2 linked regions of the Oryzias latipes genome follow. The protein of the gene in region 1 purifies or fractionates together with the protein of each later gene. This does not show direct contact. Links are inferred from orthologs where the notes say so. Each region holds a gene or a part of one and is shown on either strand. Other genes may lie near its edges.

Region 1 (8,541 bases):
CACCTTTCACCAGTTTAACACAAATAAGACGAGCTGGAATTTCCAGTATGTGCAGAGAACAGTGACACCTGTCAGAAAACATGTCTGGTTTGTTTTGTTGAGCCTGAATTATTCCCCATGGGCCCACCTGATTGCCCTGGCACTCATTGGCGGATCCCTTTGTGGAGTCCAGTTTGGTCTGGAGGATGACCACCTGTTCCTCCAGGGTCTTCTGCTCGCCCTCGATCTTCTCCTTCGTGTGCTGCTTTTCCGCCATCTCATTCTGGTAATCCGTCAGCACGTCGTTGGTTACCTTCAACTTGATGTCCTGAAACCTGACACGCTTGTCGTCCTTCTCGTGGTCTTTCCTCCGCATTCTCATCACCCCCACCAAAGCAACCGACACCATGAGGGTCATGGGAATCACAAACTGCACCTTCATGGCGTGCAGGAAGAACTTGGAAGATGGTTCCGAAACGGTTAGCGACGCTGGAGTTGTGTTAGCTGAAGGTCTACCTGTTGCAGCGGCGGTTTCCTATGTTTCCATGCGGGTGTCAGCGAGCTCCTCCCTGTTAGCAAACGAAAGTCATTGGAGCTCGGACAGCAGGTGATTCACCTGCACTTGTAGCTGGCTGGCCCTGTGCTGGGGCACGGCTTACCGATTTGAAACGCCCTCTTCCTTCTCAGAGGCCGACATGACACCTGTTATACTTTCACACATTTCTGACTTTCAGTCTAGTTTTATAAAAGTAATAAATTCTGAGTTTATCTGAAATATTGATATTAATAAGTGAAAATAACCTAAATATCTGCTAGCTTATCTGCTAAATTAGCCCAAACAGTTTTGCAATTCAAAACTTTATTTAAAACTTTATTTAAAACAAACAGAAGGTTCGCTACAAGGATTTAAAATGTATTTAAAATATATGTATATATCTATATAATTACTTATAAAATACATAAAGTGGAAACATATTCTGCAGATATGGTGGAAACAACGAAAAAAGCCGGCGCAACAAAGAAGCAGGAGGACCGTCACGCCCCACAGGTTGAACAGGTAGATCAGGCTGACATCACCATCCAGGAAAGAGAATGAACCTGCGGAACGACGGACGGATATCTGCGGAGTAATCACCTGCGCTCTGTACCTTTTACCCCCAAACACCCTCCGAGATGAAGGTCGTCGTCGTTTTAGCTCTTATCAGCGTGGCCGTGATGGGAGCCATGATCTTCCAGACCCTGCGCCAGGAGATGAACCTGCGCAACATGAGGAACCAGATGGTGGAGAGCTCGGTCGAAATTAAGAGAAAGGAAGCCTCCATCGTGGAAATGAAAACCAAAATCCACGAGATCAGGTCAACGCTGGAGAAGGTCAACAGTAAAGTGGAGGAGCTGAGGAAGAAGAAGGCAGAGGGGGAGAAGTTATTACAAGAAGCTGAGAAAATTCTGGAGACCTGCAATGGCGAAAAGGTAACACACAATGACTAGTTAGTATTATAAATAAACCTGCAAAAATACATTCTTATATTGTTTTCTTCTTTTTAATAGACCCATGTGAATATTTGCATCTTAACTGCTTACAAGTATCTCCCCATGTTTCATTTTTAGGTCAAAACCGACAAAAAGAAGGCAGAGCTGGAAGAAAACTTAGCTCAACTCAAAAGTAAGACAGATAAATAAGAATTTGATTATTTATTATTTTTTATGGATTAACTAAAGAAAGTTGTTTTTCCCTGGTCTATCTATTTTTCCCCCAGCTGACCATGAAGAGGCTAAAAACAAAGCCCAAGAAGAAATTCGGTCTTTAAAGGAGCAGGTTTTAAGCAGAGACAAAGCTCTATGTGCTTATGCAGATATGACCAAGGAAGAAGCACGGTAAGAACTTTAAGCACTTTTTGCATCAGGAGCAACAAAAAATAAAAATTATGTTTTGGCAATGATGGAGGATGTCTTTAAAATCCTAACTTAATTTTCTTGTTCTTCATTTTATTTCTTTAGGAAGCTGTGTGGAGTTTTTGAAGAACCCAAATGAAGTCAACCTAGTCAACTTGGACAGTTATCAAATAAACCAGCTTTGAACATACTGTTGAAATTCACTGATGGCATAGAGATCCTACCTATTTTCTTAAGTGATGAGGACTGGGTTGATCAACATCACGTTCATGGATCAATTAGAGAGACTTCTGAGATTGGGACATGGCTGTTTGTATTATTTTCAAAGGTGACCTTTTTGGTTTTGTAGGACTTATTTTGTTAAATAATTTTGTAATTCTTTGCATCCGTGACCCTGGCTGTCATGCACAGTTCACAATGTCTATGTGAGCTATATAGGGTTCATGTTTAGCATAGTTTGGATGCCCTTGTGTGGATCACTATAGGATATGCAGAATGTCTCCTGTGAAAACCAGCTTAACCTTGATCTTTTGTATGTTTTATTTTATGGAAATAAAGCATCATTTTAGATGCTAAAAACATCAAATGAATGCATTGAGAGTGATAAATAAAAACAGACATTTTTCTTTGTGGCTTTTATGTAATACCAGTTTCTGACTGTTATGGTTTCTGATATTGTTTCATGAAAAAAAAAAAAACATGTTAAAAAGGTGTATCTGCTAGTTTGTCCTTTTTCTGTTTGTCATACCTAAAAACTTTGTAAAGGTAATTATGTTTTCTTCTCGTTACTGGGTTTTCATTGCACTTAAACTCACCTGTGCAGACTGACAGTTTTTCAGAAATAAAATAAACAAACAAACCCACTTGTTTTTCTATATGCTTCTAAAAGTTAATTTTTGAATGATCACGAAGTGGCAGGAAATGCCTTTAAGAACAGCCAAGTAAAAAAAAAAAAATATATATATATATATATATATATATATATATATATATATATATATATATATATATATATATATATATATGAATAGAATAGAATAGAAAAGGTGTTTAATAATCCCTGAGGAAAAATTTAAAACTGGCCATCTGCCCACTCATAAAACATACACATATTAAAAACAATAAAAATAGCAATAGAATAAAAAGATTAATTGATAAAAAGATTAATAATTTAAAAGCAGTGGGTAAGAAAATGAAATAAAATAAATAAAAACAAGAATTACAAGAAATTGCTTCTAAGATGCCCTGCCAGAGAATTGTATTGTAATATATATATCTTTTAATGTATTGATTTTGTTTATTTGAAATGCTTTATCTTTGGTTAAACTTTGTTTACGCAGTTAAACTGCTGAATGCATAATGTTTATCGTGCTTTAATTCATTGTGTGGATTTCTGTAATTTCAATATGAGGTTAATAGGACTTTAATATTTCAATTTAGGAGAAAATGGCAAATGAACATGAATAGTAGTAAAGGTAGTAGATACTAATAAAAGTTTGAAGTTTTGAAACACTTCCTTTCATTCTCAACCCTTGTGCCATCCTAGACACTTTAATATTGGGAGTTGGGTCAACTAGACCCAATAGGCAGTGCGCTGAACCTTTTTTCTTCAATGATTTGTGAACTTCACTGGTGTCCATGGATTACATGAAATCTTTCCACCTTTATCTATCTTTGTCATGGTAGGGAGAACATCTCAGTGTAAGGGTAGAGTCATCTAAGATAGCACAAGGGTTAATTCCACAAGACACAGACATCCCTAAGCAAAATTAAGTTTCTTCATCATTGTAAAGGCAGACACTGCCACACTGTGGATACTTCTGTTTTTTTTCTATCTATTCTATTTTTTGTCTTATTTATAAGTTCAATAATTCTTGCATTTACAGAAACTTTCCATTCATCCATCCTTGACATAATGCTGCTCAGCTGCTGTATTTAGCTCAGAAAATCAACTGCTTGCCTCTCCAAAGGATTACAGGCCTCTATAACCCCCCAGTAGTGGCATGGACTGGTCACCTGTGCCATGCTGCATTATTCATACAAAAAAAGGCCCCAATTATAGATACAAAGTCTTGTAGACGATCATACTTTTTAAAACTGTGGCATTTTTGGTTTTTGTTTTGTCTTAAAAGTTATTTCATTTCAAGAGACACTGATTTTTTTTTAGGACTAAATGAACAAAAATAAATAAATATATGTACATGTATATGTACGACGGAGTTTTACCCCAAAACTCCGTCTCCGTCCTCCTTTTGGTGTGAAAAAATTATCAATCGTTACCATAACAATGTGGGTATTACCGGAAATGTGATCAATTATTTACAGCCAATCACAATGCACGCTATCAATCACGTGGGTGTGACGCAATCTGATTCCTCTTGCCGGCAGGAAGCTGGATGAAGTGTTTGTCATCGTGACACATGAAAGTCACCGCTTAATTTAACTGAGTGAAATCCAGTAGGAGGTATTTTTGCAATCTTCTGCCGCAGAACACACTCCTGTGTTCAATATGTACAAGAGGTATTTCACAGCTGATACGTTTGTAATGCAACAAGAGTATTTCATAACGGGTTTAGCTAACGAAGCGTTGGACGTTTCGAAGGACAAACGTCAATAGCTGGGGGGAAAACTACTAACAATTCGTCTTTTCGAGAAGTTGCAGCGTTAAAAAACAATCGGTGCTCGCTCACTCCTTCAAAGATGGCAAGGAACCTCGCTAGAATACTCGGAGGCTGTGGGAGCCTCGTTCCATTCATGAAGACACCCGCGTGCCCTCCTCGCAACAGCAGCAGCATTCCTCCTGCCAGGACTCTGGTGGTGAGTGGAACGATCAGCTGTTCGGGGAAAGTGCTGGAATCAACGCATGTCATCTTTTAGAATGGGCTTTTGTCTGTGGAAATCGCCAGCGCCACATTATGACAGGTTAAGTTAAGGCCTCTGAATGGCTGCAGCTCAAGCGTCATGTTGGGTTGACTGTTGGGACATTGAGATCCCTGCACACAGACAGACAGAGTTCATATTGTCCATGGCATAGAAATCTAAGAACTACACTGATTTACAATGTTTTGTGAAATTTGATCATTATTTTACTGCTCTTTGTTAGTTCTGTTTTTCTTTCTTTCTTTTTTTAAATATTAAGAAAATAACAATGTTATTACTTTATATGTATTAATCTTTAAATATTAAATATAATGTTTATTTTTATTTAGTCAAAAAGAAACCAGGTGAGAAACAAATTGCTGAAAATACATGAAATTGGAGCCACAAATCTATATCATTATAGCTCATGTTTTGTCTGAACACTTAGCATCTGTACAACTATGTGCAATTTTAGGAATCCAGTCCGTCGGCTCAGTCCTGTCCTGTGGTTTCAGGTAACAATGTCTTTATCTGAAAGGTCTGAAAGCATTTTTTTTTTAAATCTCCAGCAGATGCTCTTCTCCAAGTCCAGGGACTTCAGCCTGCCCAACTCCTCATGGGGGGAAGAGATGATGCGACTCTATGAATTTTATAACGGCCAATCTGACGTAGAAACAGAAGGAGAGGAGAACCAGGGGAGGGAATGGAAGAGACTCCCAAGCTACAACCGTTCCCTTAAATATGCAACAGGTACAGAAACAAAGATTCTTGTCTGTTTTTAAAAAAAAATCCTTTGGGCACTTCAATGTTCCAAAGCACAGTTTGAACTTTGATAATCATTATTATTATTATCTGTTCACATTTTTAGTCTAGACATAGTTTTTAGGCACCTAGAGACACAATGCAGAGAAGCTTTCACATGGCTGTGAACAAGAATTCCTGACTGTCACAGGGCTGTGATATTAATGTTTTACTGACCATGCAAATTTAATCAGATTCAAAGCATATTATAGTTACAAGACAAAAAAATTAATCCCAAACATTCGTTAGGAACACCAGATAATATAAATTTGTTCAATTTGTTGTCATTTCCTGCATTGGATTTTGGCCAACCTTGTTTTTTATTTTATTTGACTGATAAGTAACTTTAGGACAGGATTAAATGGAGAAAGAAAAGTTTCTAGCATATAAAATCTAACTTTTACAACAAATAATTTTAATGTATGTACAGTAATGAACTGTAGCTTTTATGAGTCACTTTACTGAATTCAAAAACTGCTGCTTTGATCTTTCTTTTTTTTTTAAAGCAAAAACATAAGGATGGTTATAAAGATGCACTTGGTCTTAGTTTGTTAAACAGAAAGCATGAAAGTTGTTAACTTTTCATATAATAACGAACAATCCTTTTTTTTTCTGTCACATTAGGTGGAGTTTATCTGAGCAAAATAATCCAGTCAAAAGCGCGTCTCTTCACCCGAAACATTCGTGAACCTGGTGCTGCTTTTGAATATGTTCTCTTTATCAACAAAGAAAAAGAGAGGTGTGTGTGCGTTTTCCAAGCGGGACACTTGCTGGAAGGACCTCCAGGGTGAGACAGCTTTTCTTGCCATATTGATTTTAGAATCAAACCACTATAAAAGTTGATGAGTGTTTTCTAACATATTCTTTTTAGGTAGAAATGAAGCAAACTCTCAAATTAAACACAAACAAGTATTTGCTGTCATTTGCTGTAGTTTGGAGTGTCTGACTAATCCGACATTTCTTGTGTTTTTTCATATTTGCCATAATGAGAACACACAGTAAGTATGAATTTATGTGGCTTCTTTTTCCATGCTGGATGTAATTCCAGACATGTCCACGGGGGGGCAATAGCGACCATGATTGACACAGTGACTGGAACTCATGCATCTGCGATTTCTGCCCCAGTTATGACGGCCAACCTCAACATTGACTACCGCAGGTATGAAACGATGTGATATAATTTATCTTTGGGGTTTTTTTTCTTATGAATCCTATGTATTCAGATCTTCTACTTTTCTTTATGAAAAACAAAAATTTAAAGTCATTGGAGCCCTCAAAAAAATTAGTTTATTTATGTATTTGTTGCAGCTGCTTTTTCCATTAATTTACCGTTTGTACAACTTTTTAAGTTGATCTGCCTTTAGCATACTGACACGAAATATTTTGGTACACATTGTGATTCCACAGCTCCCAGATGACTCTTGTTTTCAGTGTTTCTGGTCTTGACTTCACTATTATGGGTCACCTCGACCTAACAAACAGTTTTTCTTATTCCAAGCCCCATCCCACTGGGAAGCACAGTGTTGATTGAGTCCACGCTGGAGAAAACAGAAGGCAGAAAATTATATATTTCATGCAAAGTGACCAGCACTGATGGCTCAAAGAGGCACACTGATGCAACAGGTAAACGCATTTCCCCAAATTTCAACACAACAGCCTTGTCTGTTAAGAGCTGCCTTCAATGTCACTCTGCTGTTTTCTTTCATGCAGCACTGTTTGTGTCGATCAGTGTCGCTCATCTGCTGAAAGGGTGACAACATTTCAGTCTGCCACAAACAACAAATCTGTCACAGGTGTGTGTGTGTGTGTGACACTGTAAAAAAAAAAAAAAAGTGTCCTTTTGGTTTGAAATATGTACATATTTTCTATAAAATGAAAATTGAATGTAAATATAACATTGTTTGCTTTTAATTATATGCTATTTTATTAACAGTTTCTGCCAACTTTTATTTTGACTTCACATATCTTTAAACTTTATTTAAGGTGTATTTTATTGTTGAACAAAATTGTATTGTTTTCAGGTATATTGTGGCCTTAAACATGAATGAGCTGTACTTATTTTTGTGGAGTAGCTCAATAAACACTCTTCCATGGTGCAACAGAAAACAAACTGCAATAAGTATATATCTATATTTGTCCTTCTTTTAGTATTTTTTGCATATGAGCTCATTTGTCCTACTGGTACAGCGTCCGCCCAGAGATTAAAATATTATGGATCAAATCCATAGTTTTGTCATTTGGGAGTTGAACCACCAAATGGAACCTGAGCATGACTGCTGCTCACTGCTACCCCAGACAGTGGGTCAAATGCAGAAAACAAAATTTCTCCCCCCTCTATGTGTGACAGCCAGCGTGACTTTAATGATGCACATTTGTTTTGATCTTTGCACTGGGGTCGTCGGTTGTTATATCACCATGTGATGGATGTGGTTGTACTTCAATAAGACCTATGGGTTTTTCACGCTTATGAGGGTATCATGACTTACAAACAAAACCAAAAAAAAAAGCTTTTAAACTTGAAATCGTCATATCAGCACCTGCTATTCACTCTGGCGCTCGGAGCATGAATCTACATTCAGATATGACTGAGGCACGCCACACAGTGCTTTGATAATGAACATCATCTGCACCACACAGATTCCTGCTGCTCTGGCATCGCACTCAGACCACATTGCTAATAATAGAATACTTATGAAAAACACCTGTGTTTTTTACATTGCTTTTTGTGTGAAAGCAGTGGTGTCTCTGATCACACCACTGCTGTGTGCTCTTAGTCCTAAAGGCAAAACCATCTGAAGGAATGGGTTTAAAAAAAAAAGTTTGTTTTTGCTTAGTTTTAAGGAAAAAACATTCACTTCTTTTCAATATGTTTGTCTTTAAAATGTTATTAAATGATTTATTTTTACATTTTTTTTTTACAATTAGATATTTAACTAAAGCATCAATTGTTATGGTAAAAACCATTCCAGTTTGCGCACGTAAACTCCCATTTAAATTCAGTTCTCACAT
Region 2 (8,011 bases), on another chromosome or scaffold:
CCAAACAGTCGGCGTGGGTTTATTGATCTGCCTCCCCTAGATCCCCCCTAAGACCTTGCTGCAGCTGGAAGCGAGCTTAGTCTGTACAGCACTGCCGAAATACCCACCAATGCTTTCTAACCGCCCACACTTAGCAATATTTTTCAAATGGATATTTCTTGGTAGGTGACTATCTTTGCACTGTGTTCCTAATAAATGCCAAATGTATGTTTTTGCTGCAGAAAAGCAGTTTTTAAGGCACAATAAAAAAAAAACAACAATCACGTCACAGTGAATGAAAATTTCGGCGGCCTCATTAGCTTGAGCTCTAAAGATAAACGGGGGACGTGTTATGTGAAAATTACACCAGCAATGGATGCTGCTGATTGATGGTGTGTGTTGGGGTTTGGGTTATCAGTGCTGCAGTGAGGTTCTGTAGCCGTACAACACTTCCTGCTGATAAAACTATAGCAGCCAGGTCAGCACAGCACATTTTCTCTCTTTCTCCTTCCCTCTCTCCCTCCTTCTTTCCCTTGGGTTTATGAGGCAGGATTCCAGCCTGCTAGGGTTCTCTTGAAAATGCGAGGGTAGCAGGATTGGAGGATGTGCTGACTCTGGCCTGGCGCCGCTAGCCACGTGTGAGATACAGCTGTCAGGTGACTTGGACTGAAAAAGCGGGATGGCGAGGGGAGCCGTGCAACCTCAGATTGTGACACTGCCTGATGCATCTCATTTCGGCAATTACTCTAAATTTGTTGTGGCCAAGTACTCTGTCATCTACTCAAATTTGCTTCAAAAAATAAACAAAACACAACTTTGTGTAGGTCAAGATAACATCTGCAGTGTTATAGAAAAAAACATTTAAGACTAGAAAGGATAAGAAGGACATGTAGGGATTTTTCTCCAACCTGTAGCTGTTGGGGACCCCCCAGCAAGTACCCACAGAGATCGAACCAATGAAAAGAAATCTCTCCTAAAAGTCCAAGGCCTCAGTTCTGTTTCCTTCTTTCGACATACAAGCCCGAATATGTTTTTGTCAAACTTGTTACTGTGAACTATGATTAAATAACCTTTGCTAAGCACAGCAGTGGGGACATTATGATTAGGCACATTTTGCAACAAGACCTACAGATAATGAGTGAACTATTAAAAAAAATGTTCCTTAAGGAGTTGATGTCAATATATTGCAATTTTTAACTGGGGTTCCTTTTCCTTTGTTTTTTCTTAGCTGGAAAACCTCATGCTGGACAAAGACGGACACATAAAGATTACAGACTTTGGCCTGTGTAAGGAGGGAATCAAAGACGGTGCAACCATGAAAACCTTCTGTGGGACACCGGAGTACCTTGCACCCGAGGTAAGCGCAGGAAAGCATTTTTCTAAAAGCCAGTTGTCCGATCTCACTTGGACCTAAAAGAAAAACCGAACACTGTAGAGGTTTTGGTCGGGGACCATTTTATTTAGAATAGTTGTTCCCACACACCAAACCCGCTCTGCTTAATATTCAGCAACCAGCTGACTACATGGCGCAAGGATGTAGCAAATAAAGTTGCTTAAATGGTGGATTCACGCTTATTAATGTATGTGGAACATTTTATTCTGTTTTTTTTTTTTTGCATTTATCCGTTGCACCTTAAAAGTTGCACGAGGCTGAAGTTGGCGTCTATTTCACAGAGGATGAACTGCTAAGTTGTTTTGGTTTTCAGAGAAAAATCTTTAGATTAGCTGCTCCTGAAGCACGATTGGCATTCGCTTTTGGAAAGCCGACCCCCTCGACACATGTGACATCTCCAGATCTCGCATAAAAAGGCAGCACGTGTCGTTGCACATCAATAGATTTGACAATTTAACCGAAAGAGCAGCTGTCCGAAAATGCCTTTCTAATCTCCAGCTGAAGTTAAGTTAATGAGTACTTTGCGTGCCCAGGGCAGGGTAGCCTGCTCTCGTCTTTGCTCTAAGGGGTGTGGCTGCTCCCAGTTGCGTGCAGGTATGGGGTGTGCTGTGTAACTCGATCCTTCACTTTAAGTGTACATGTGTTTGTTGCTCCCTTTTGCCTGCTGTTGTAAAAATGCTTCAGGAAGGAGAGCGTCTGTATTGACACAGTTGTTGCATTGTTGCTTTTAAACTGCATTTGGCAGTTCGGGGTTGGGAGGAGGAGGAGTGATAGCCTGGCAGCACCTGAGGAAATGCGAGCTTCCACTTCTGGAAGATGGAGGGCGTTTGAAAGAGACCACAATGGCTGCAACTGTTGTGTGGTACCAGGTTGCAGAGCCTGATGCTGCTTTGGATGCCTCACCTGACCCCAGCTTACTCAGAGCTGGTATGAGCTCCACAGCGCTTCAGGCCGCTACGTTTTTCTCCTTCAGGAAGCAGACTGACATCCTTCTCAGCACAGTTTTTAAACCTTCTCACCTGGAAAAAAACTACACTTGTTTTTCCATATTTGTGTCAACCTGCTCCTCTCCGAAGAGTTGCAGGGCTCGAAACGGCTCCTAAACTCAGCATCGCGGCAGAGGGTGTTGCCGCGGTAACGGGGTCGCTGGTGAGCGTCTCCATGGAGTGCGGGCCAGGCAGTGTTACAGGTTGTTCTGCAGTAAACAATGACCTTGTTGTGTATGTGTGTGTGTGTGTGCTGCACAGGAATGTTGTAACGTCTGGGAATATTCCACCCAGAGCTGCTGAGAGAAAAGGAGGGGGGGGGGGGGGGGGGGGGGGGCAGGCTGGATCTGCAGCAGCCTGACCAGAGTGTCTCTAGAGTGAGGAGTGAGACAAATTCACTTAGTCACTTTTATGAAGCACTTCCAGAAGAAAACCATTATTGGCTGAGGGAATTGGCTGTTGGGCGAACATCCACAAAATAAGAAAAGTTGATGTGTTTAATTTAGCCACCAGCGCTGCTCTGGATTCACCAGCTTGAAAGATTAATGACGTCCAGCGTAGAACTTCTGTAAGCAGAAGAAAATGCAGTATAAGAATTGAAGCAGCAAGTGTCCCTTTCATCCTGTCCTCCCTTTCCCTCCTGCATATCTACTCCTCCGAGGTGCTGTAACTGCATTAGTTCAGGGCTGGGGGCCGGATCCGACTGGCTCAGAAGCAGCCCTGGTTACATATATGAGGGATGAGCTTGGCTCCTGCGCTCCTGGCAGCTTCACAGCTGTGGTGCTCTTCTACATATATGGGGCAGCTGCAGGCCCAGCTGTCGCACGGTGTGAATCACACGACAGCAGTGCTGGAAATAGAGACAACCCAGTAATCCTAGCCCTGTGCTGGCTTCACGTTACTCCCCCTCTGCCCTCCGCGATGCTCGGCGCTCACCGCAGCTCCAGGCCGAGAGCCCACGGGCGCATTCTCAAATGCACACCAGCCTTATTCCTTTTACAGGCACCTCTGTCGCCTGTTTCCCAGAAGCCCCTTTTTTCCCCCCCTCCACCCACAACCCTCTCTGTCCATATCTAAACCCTTTCTCCACCATCCGCTTTTATGTAAGTGCCTTTTCTTAGATTTGATCTATCCTGTATCAAGCCGTTGAAGGTTTAAGAGAACAGACGGTTCTCCTTGTCTTGATTTCACCTTCAACATCTGCCTGGTGAGGTAAAAACCTGTACGCGTCCCCAGAGACCTTGGAGCGCCTTCGCTCAGCTGCACATTAGACATTCAACAGGTTGTGATGTTCAGCGAGCGTAACCGTGGAGGAGTGCGTCTCGTAAGAACCGTCAACAAAAAGTGTTTTGGAAAGACTGAGACAAAATATTTTCTTTTCAGAGACTTTTACATTTTGGTTTATTTTCCTTTTTATTTTTTATTGTTGGGACACATATTTGCTTGTTTAAAGTGCACCTCTGCTGTTTGTTGGTGGATCCGTGTGTGTTTGTAAAAAAAAAAAAAAAGGCCCCTTGGTGATTAAAAATGCAACACTCCAGAGGAAACTATCTAAGACGAGATGTCAGTGGGAGCAGAAGCCATAATAGCCAAAGTTTAGTTGCCAAAGTGTTATTTTCTTTTTGCTCTAAAACACAATCATTATCAACTTGAAACGTCACAAGCTCTGCATTAAAAAACTCTTTACCCGCTCCTTCTTGTCCTGCAGGTTTTAGAAGACAACGACTACGGCCGCGCCGTGGACTGGTGGGGTCTTGGTGTGGTCATGTACGAGATGATGTGCGGCAGACTCCCCTTCTACAACCAGGACCATGAGAAACTGTTCGAGCTCATCCTCATGGAAGACATCCGTTTCCCTCGCACTCTGGGTCCTGAAGCGCGTTCCCTGCTCTCTGGTCTCCTGAAGAAAGACCCAATGCAACGGTGAGACGTCTATTGAAAACATATACAGTGGTTCCTCTGTTATCGCAGGAGTTGCGTTATAAAAATAACTCGCGATAGACAAAATCTACAAAGCTTTTCTAATGCTACGTGCACGCCGGACATGTGATGTATGATGTATGTACGTGTGTTCTTAATCATGCTTTTAGCACATGGTGTTCACACTGGACTGTCGCTACCTGATACTAGTACCTATAGTTAAAAGAGGCTTGATGTCAAATGTCAAAGTGGTCCAAAACTCGCAAATCCTGCCCCCAGGCTTTCCGATATATCAAAGACTTGGTGCGATGACAAACCGCAATTATACAATTCTCCTTCATGATCTATTATTAACCGGTTGACACTTCTATGAATGTTAAAGGACGCAATCCATACATCACAACCAAATCAGAGTCTCTGGTCAAAGTTCAACTTTTTGACTTTTTGCATGTAGAACCCAAAGATGGACTTAAAAACTTGCATAGCGCCTTGTGAAACACAAGGGTATTGAAAGGTGCATATATGCGCGTTTACATAGACTTTTTATTGGAAGTGGCCGCTTGAACGCACGTCTCTAAGGCCCAGTGTGAACATAGACAGACATGAACATTTTCACATTTAAGCTCAAACCTAAATGTGAACACAAGCACTGCTTAAAAAAATTTGCAAAAGTACAAGACCGGGGAAGATGAACAGCGTTATATTGCAGAACCACTGTAGTCTGTGCTTGATTGTTTATAGGTGAGGCTTGACATGAATCTGCTGTGCCTCTGCTTCCAGGTTAGGCGGAGGGCCGAATGATGCAAAAGAAATCATGCAGCACAAGTTCTTTGCTGGTATTATTTGGCAGGATGTCTATGAGAAGAAGGTGGGTTCCTACAAAGCAGCAGAGGTGATGTCATGTTTTTATTGTAATGTGAAGTAAATCAGAATCATTTGCAGTCAAAAGAATCGAAATTAAATGAGTTTCCTCTTAGACCTTTGGTAATGTTTGCTGGACAGCAAAGAAAGTGCAGTTTGATGTAGAGGAAGAAGAATTAAGGGACTGTAAATAACAATTATGAAGTAACAGAAGTCAAAAGATGTTTATATATTATACATATAATAACCCATGAATTGTTTTAAACATCAAGATTAATGTAAATTAAGAAAATTCAAGTAAGCGTAAAACCTTTAGGTCAAATAACTTTCAATTTTTGTATTGTGATGGATGCATACTTTAGGGATCATGACGACTACACAAGTCTGACCAACATCAGCTGACTGGCAACTGTTTCTGCTCTGACTCATGTCAGCCAATGTCCTCACATAATTGTCTCATCCCCTCCACAGCTGGTCCCACCATTTAAGCCGCAAGTTACCTCAGAGACGGATACACGATATTTTGACGAAGAGTTCACGGCACAAACCATCACTATCACACCACCTGGACAAGGTAGAAGAACCTTACAGAAATGCAACTTGGCTTCAGTTATAAACTGTAAAACAAAATCCCACTTTGGTTTTATGTGAATGTATTTTTTTGTAACAAAGCTCCTGAGCAACCAAAGACAGAATGACGATAAACTCGTCTAATTCATTCCTTTTAACACTAAAGATGAATCCTAACTCTTCTTTGCATGGCTTTTTAAATTACTGTTCCAAGAAAATATAGGTATATTCACAACGTATTCTCTTAAAGTATTCCAGTGGACTTTTAAAAAACTTTATGAGATGTCAAATTAAAGTGCCAGACGTATTCAAACTTACAAAACAGGGTACATTAAGTTTTTGCCTCTGCAGAAATGCTCCTAAAAATGTTCAAGTTAGTTCTGTATGCCCTCTACTGGAAAAGTGGCACCATTGAAGTACTGTAGATTGATGTATACAGTGAGGCAAGTCAGTCACCGATTCCACAGGTTGTCCCACTTTAAAAGAAGAGAAAGGTCTGTAATGTTCATCATACGTTCACTTCTACTGTGAGAGACGGAATGTAAAGAAAGAATCTAAGAAATTAAGTTGTTTGGTTTTAATTTTTTCATTAGTAAATCTGCATTGAAGAGACTTCTTTGAACTTCTGCATACAAGTAGACTGCATTACATTAATGAACACAGTGATGGAAAATATCAGTTGAGCTCAGAAAGTCTTAAAAGACGTAAGGGCTTATTAAAAAAAACAGGAAGATCCAAACCTACAGTTGTAATCTCTGATTTTGATCCAAGGAATTTTAATATGGAATTTTTGTCTCAAAAATCAAAGGCTTCTCAGTTGGTTGGTCATGAACAGTTTGAGAGCCATTACAACTGGAAAGAAGGATACAATCCTATTCCAGCTAATGTTTCTTCTTCTTCAGATCTGACTGGTTATTTATTAAAACAGTGCAACATTATGAAAGAGATTTTGAATAAATTATAGTTTCCCTAAAGTAAATCTAATTAAACGTCTTATGTTTTTTTTTTAAATTAAGAATACTCTTTGAAAATGTCTGACTTGGTATGAACTGGCTTTGCCCTGAGTGTCCGCCATAAGACCAGCCTGTTTCTTTCCTCCTTCTGTCCTGATTCTTTTTCTCTCTTCTAGATGTAAAAATTGTATTTTTAATTTGAAATAATAATTTTGTTGGATATCAGTTAGTGGTGTAATAGAATGGATTTCTTTATTGTTGTCAAATTTCTCCAAATGTTCAACTAAAATCCAAAGTATCGTTCAGCCAAAGTGATATTAAAAGCAATAGGCTGTAAACTAAATAGTCACTCAAAAATAAAAAAGCATCCTTTTAGCTTTTAACAAAAACACCATCTACCCACCATCACACATACTTCTCCCTTCTGCCCATAGGAGCAGCTTTTATTATCATAAAAGTTTCAGCCAAAGGATATAAACTTTTTCAGTGTTTTGGTACATCTAGTTAAAGAAATTATTTAAAACAAAATAGGCACAAACAAGCTCAGCGCGTTCTTGCGGACACGTGCTGGATTGCAATCTCTGTACAAGACCTGATGGAGGGAGGGAGGAGCGGATGGGGCGCCCGATCAGTTACGATGTGCTTCTGTTACTGATCATATCATGTAAATATATGTGCACAAACAGCAGTGAAATTAAAAAATACTGACTGTAAATAATTTTCACGTAATCCTACGTCATGGGTTTTACTTATCGCAGGTTACTTTTACAACGTAACCCCTGCAAAGAAAAGAGGGAACAACTGATATCTGGATTGGCTTAAAATGCTTATAGACCAACTGATGAATATGGTGTTTTTAATGTTTTTAACATGTACTTGTGGCATTTTTCTAATAAAAAATTAGAAAAAAAATTAGAAAAAAAAATAAAATTTTATATATATATATATATATATATATATATATATATATATATATATATATATATATATATATATATATATATATATATATATATATAAAAATAAAATTGTTTTGAATCAGGAGCATACACAACAATGCTGTTTAAAAACGCCTGTAGCTGTTGCGTAGAAGCCACAAGCTCCTGTTCTGCTCCATTCTAATGCATCCACTTGTAGACAAATAGATCCATGTACATTTTCGTTTCTCTCGTCTGAGCTGGTATATGACTTAAAACTGTACAGCTGGAGCAATCCAGCTCCAATATTTCTTGCCATTTTTGTTGTCCCGACAATGTTAGGCTAGGGATATGATGGACTATAAGCTAGTGAGAGAGCATGTAGACAGATGGATGATGGGAAGCAGGGGCGGGCTTGTTCTGTGCCAACAG

Evidence for each region. Proteins that work in one complex are often made in the same cells at the same time.
Region 2: the proteins of acyl-coenzyme A thioesterase THEM4 (region 1) and akt1 purify together in Homo sapiens (co-immunoprecipitation; 4 studies listed by BioGRID and IntAct, with this or other methods). This does not show direct contact. The link is inferred for Oryzias latipes from reciprocal best matches to the Homo sapiens genes THEM4 and AKT1.

The regions. Positions count from the first base shown.
Region 1 is NC_019874.2:18,083,854-18,092,394, forward strand, and holds acyl-coenzyme A thioesterase THEM4, read left to right. Parts: upstream 1-4,218; 5' UTR 4,219-4,572; coding exon 4,573-4,689; intron 4,690-5,300; coding exon 5,301-5,481; intron 5,482-6,156; coding exon 6,157-6,319; intron 6,320-6,580; coding exon 6,581-6,691; intron 6,692-7,030; coding exon 7,031-7,155; intron 7,156-7,242; coding exon 7,243-7,286; 3' UTR 7,287-7,654; downstream 7,655-8,541. Other genes in the region: FK506-binding protein 4, read right to left, coding at 128-421; uncharacterized protein LOC101172357, read left to right, coding at 1,153-1,449, 1,588-1,642, 1,737-1,854, 1,978-2,011. UniProt on the Homo sapiens protein: Has acyl-CoA thioesterase activity towards medium and long-chain (C14 to C18) fatty acyl-CoA substrates, and probably plays a role in mitochondrial fatty acid metabolism. Plays a role in the apoptotic process, possibly via its regulation of AKT1 activity.
Region 2 is NC_019880.2:14,689,594-14,697,604, forward strand, and holds part of akt1 (RAC-alpha serine/threonine-protein kinase), read left to right. Parts: intron 1-1,207; coding exon 1,208-1,336; intron 1,337-4,066; coding exon 4,067-4,281; intron 4,282-5,058; coding exon 5,059-5,146; intron 5,147-5,610; coding exon 5,611-5,713; intron 5,714-8,011. UniProt on the Homo sapiens protein: AKT1 is one of 3 closely related serine/threonine-protein kinases (AKT1, AKT2 and AKT3) called the AKT kinase, and which regulate many processes including metabolism, proliferation, cell survival, growth and angiogenesis.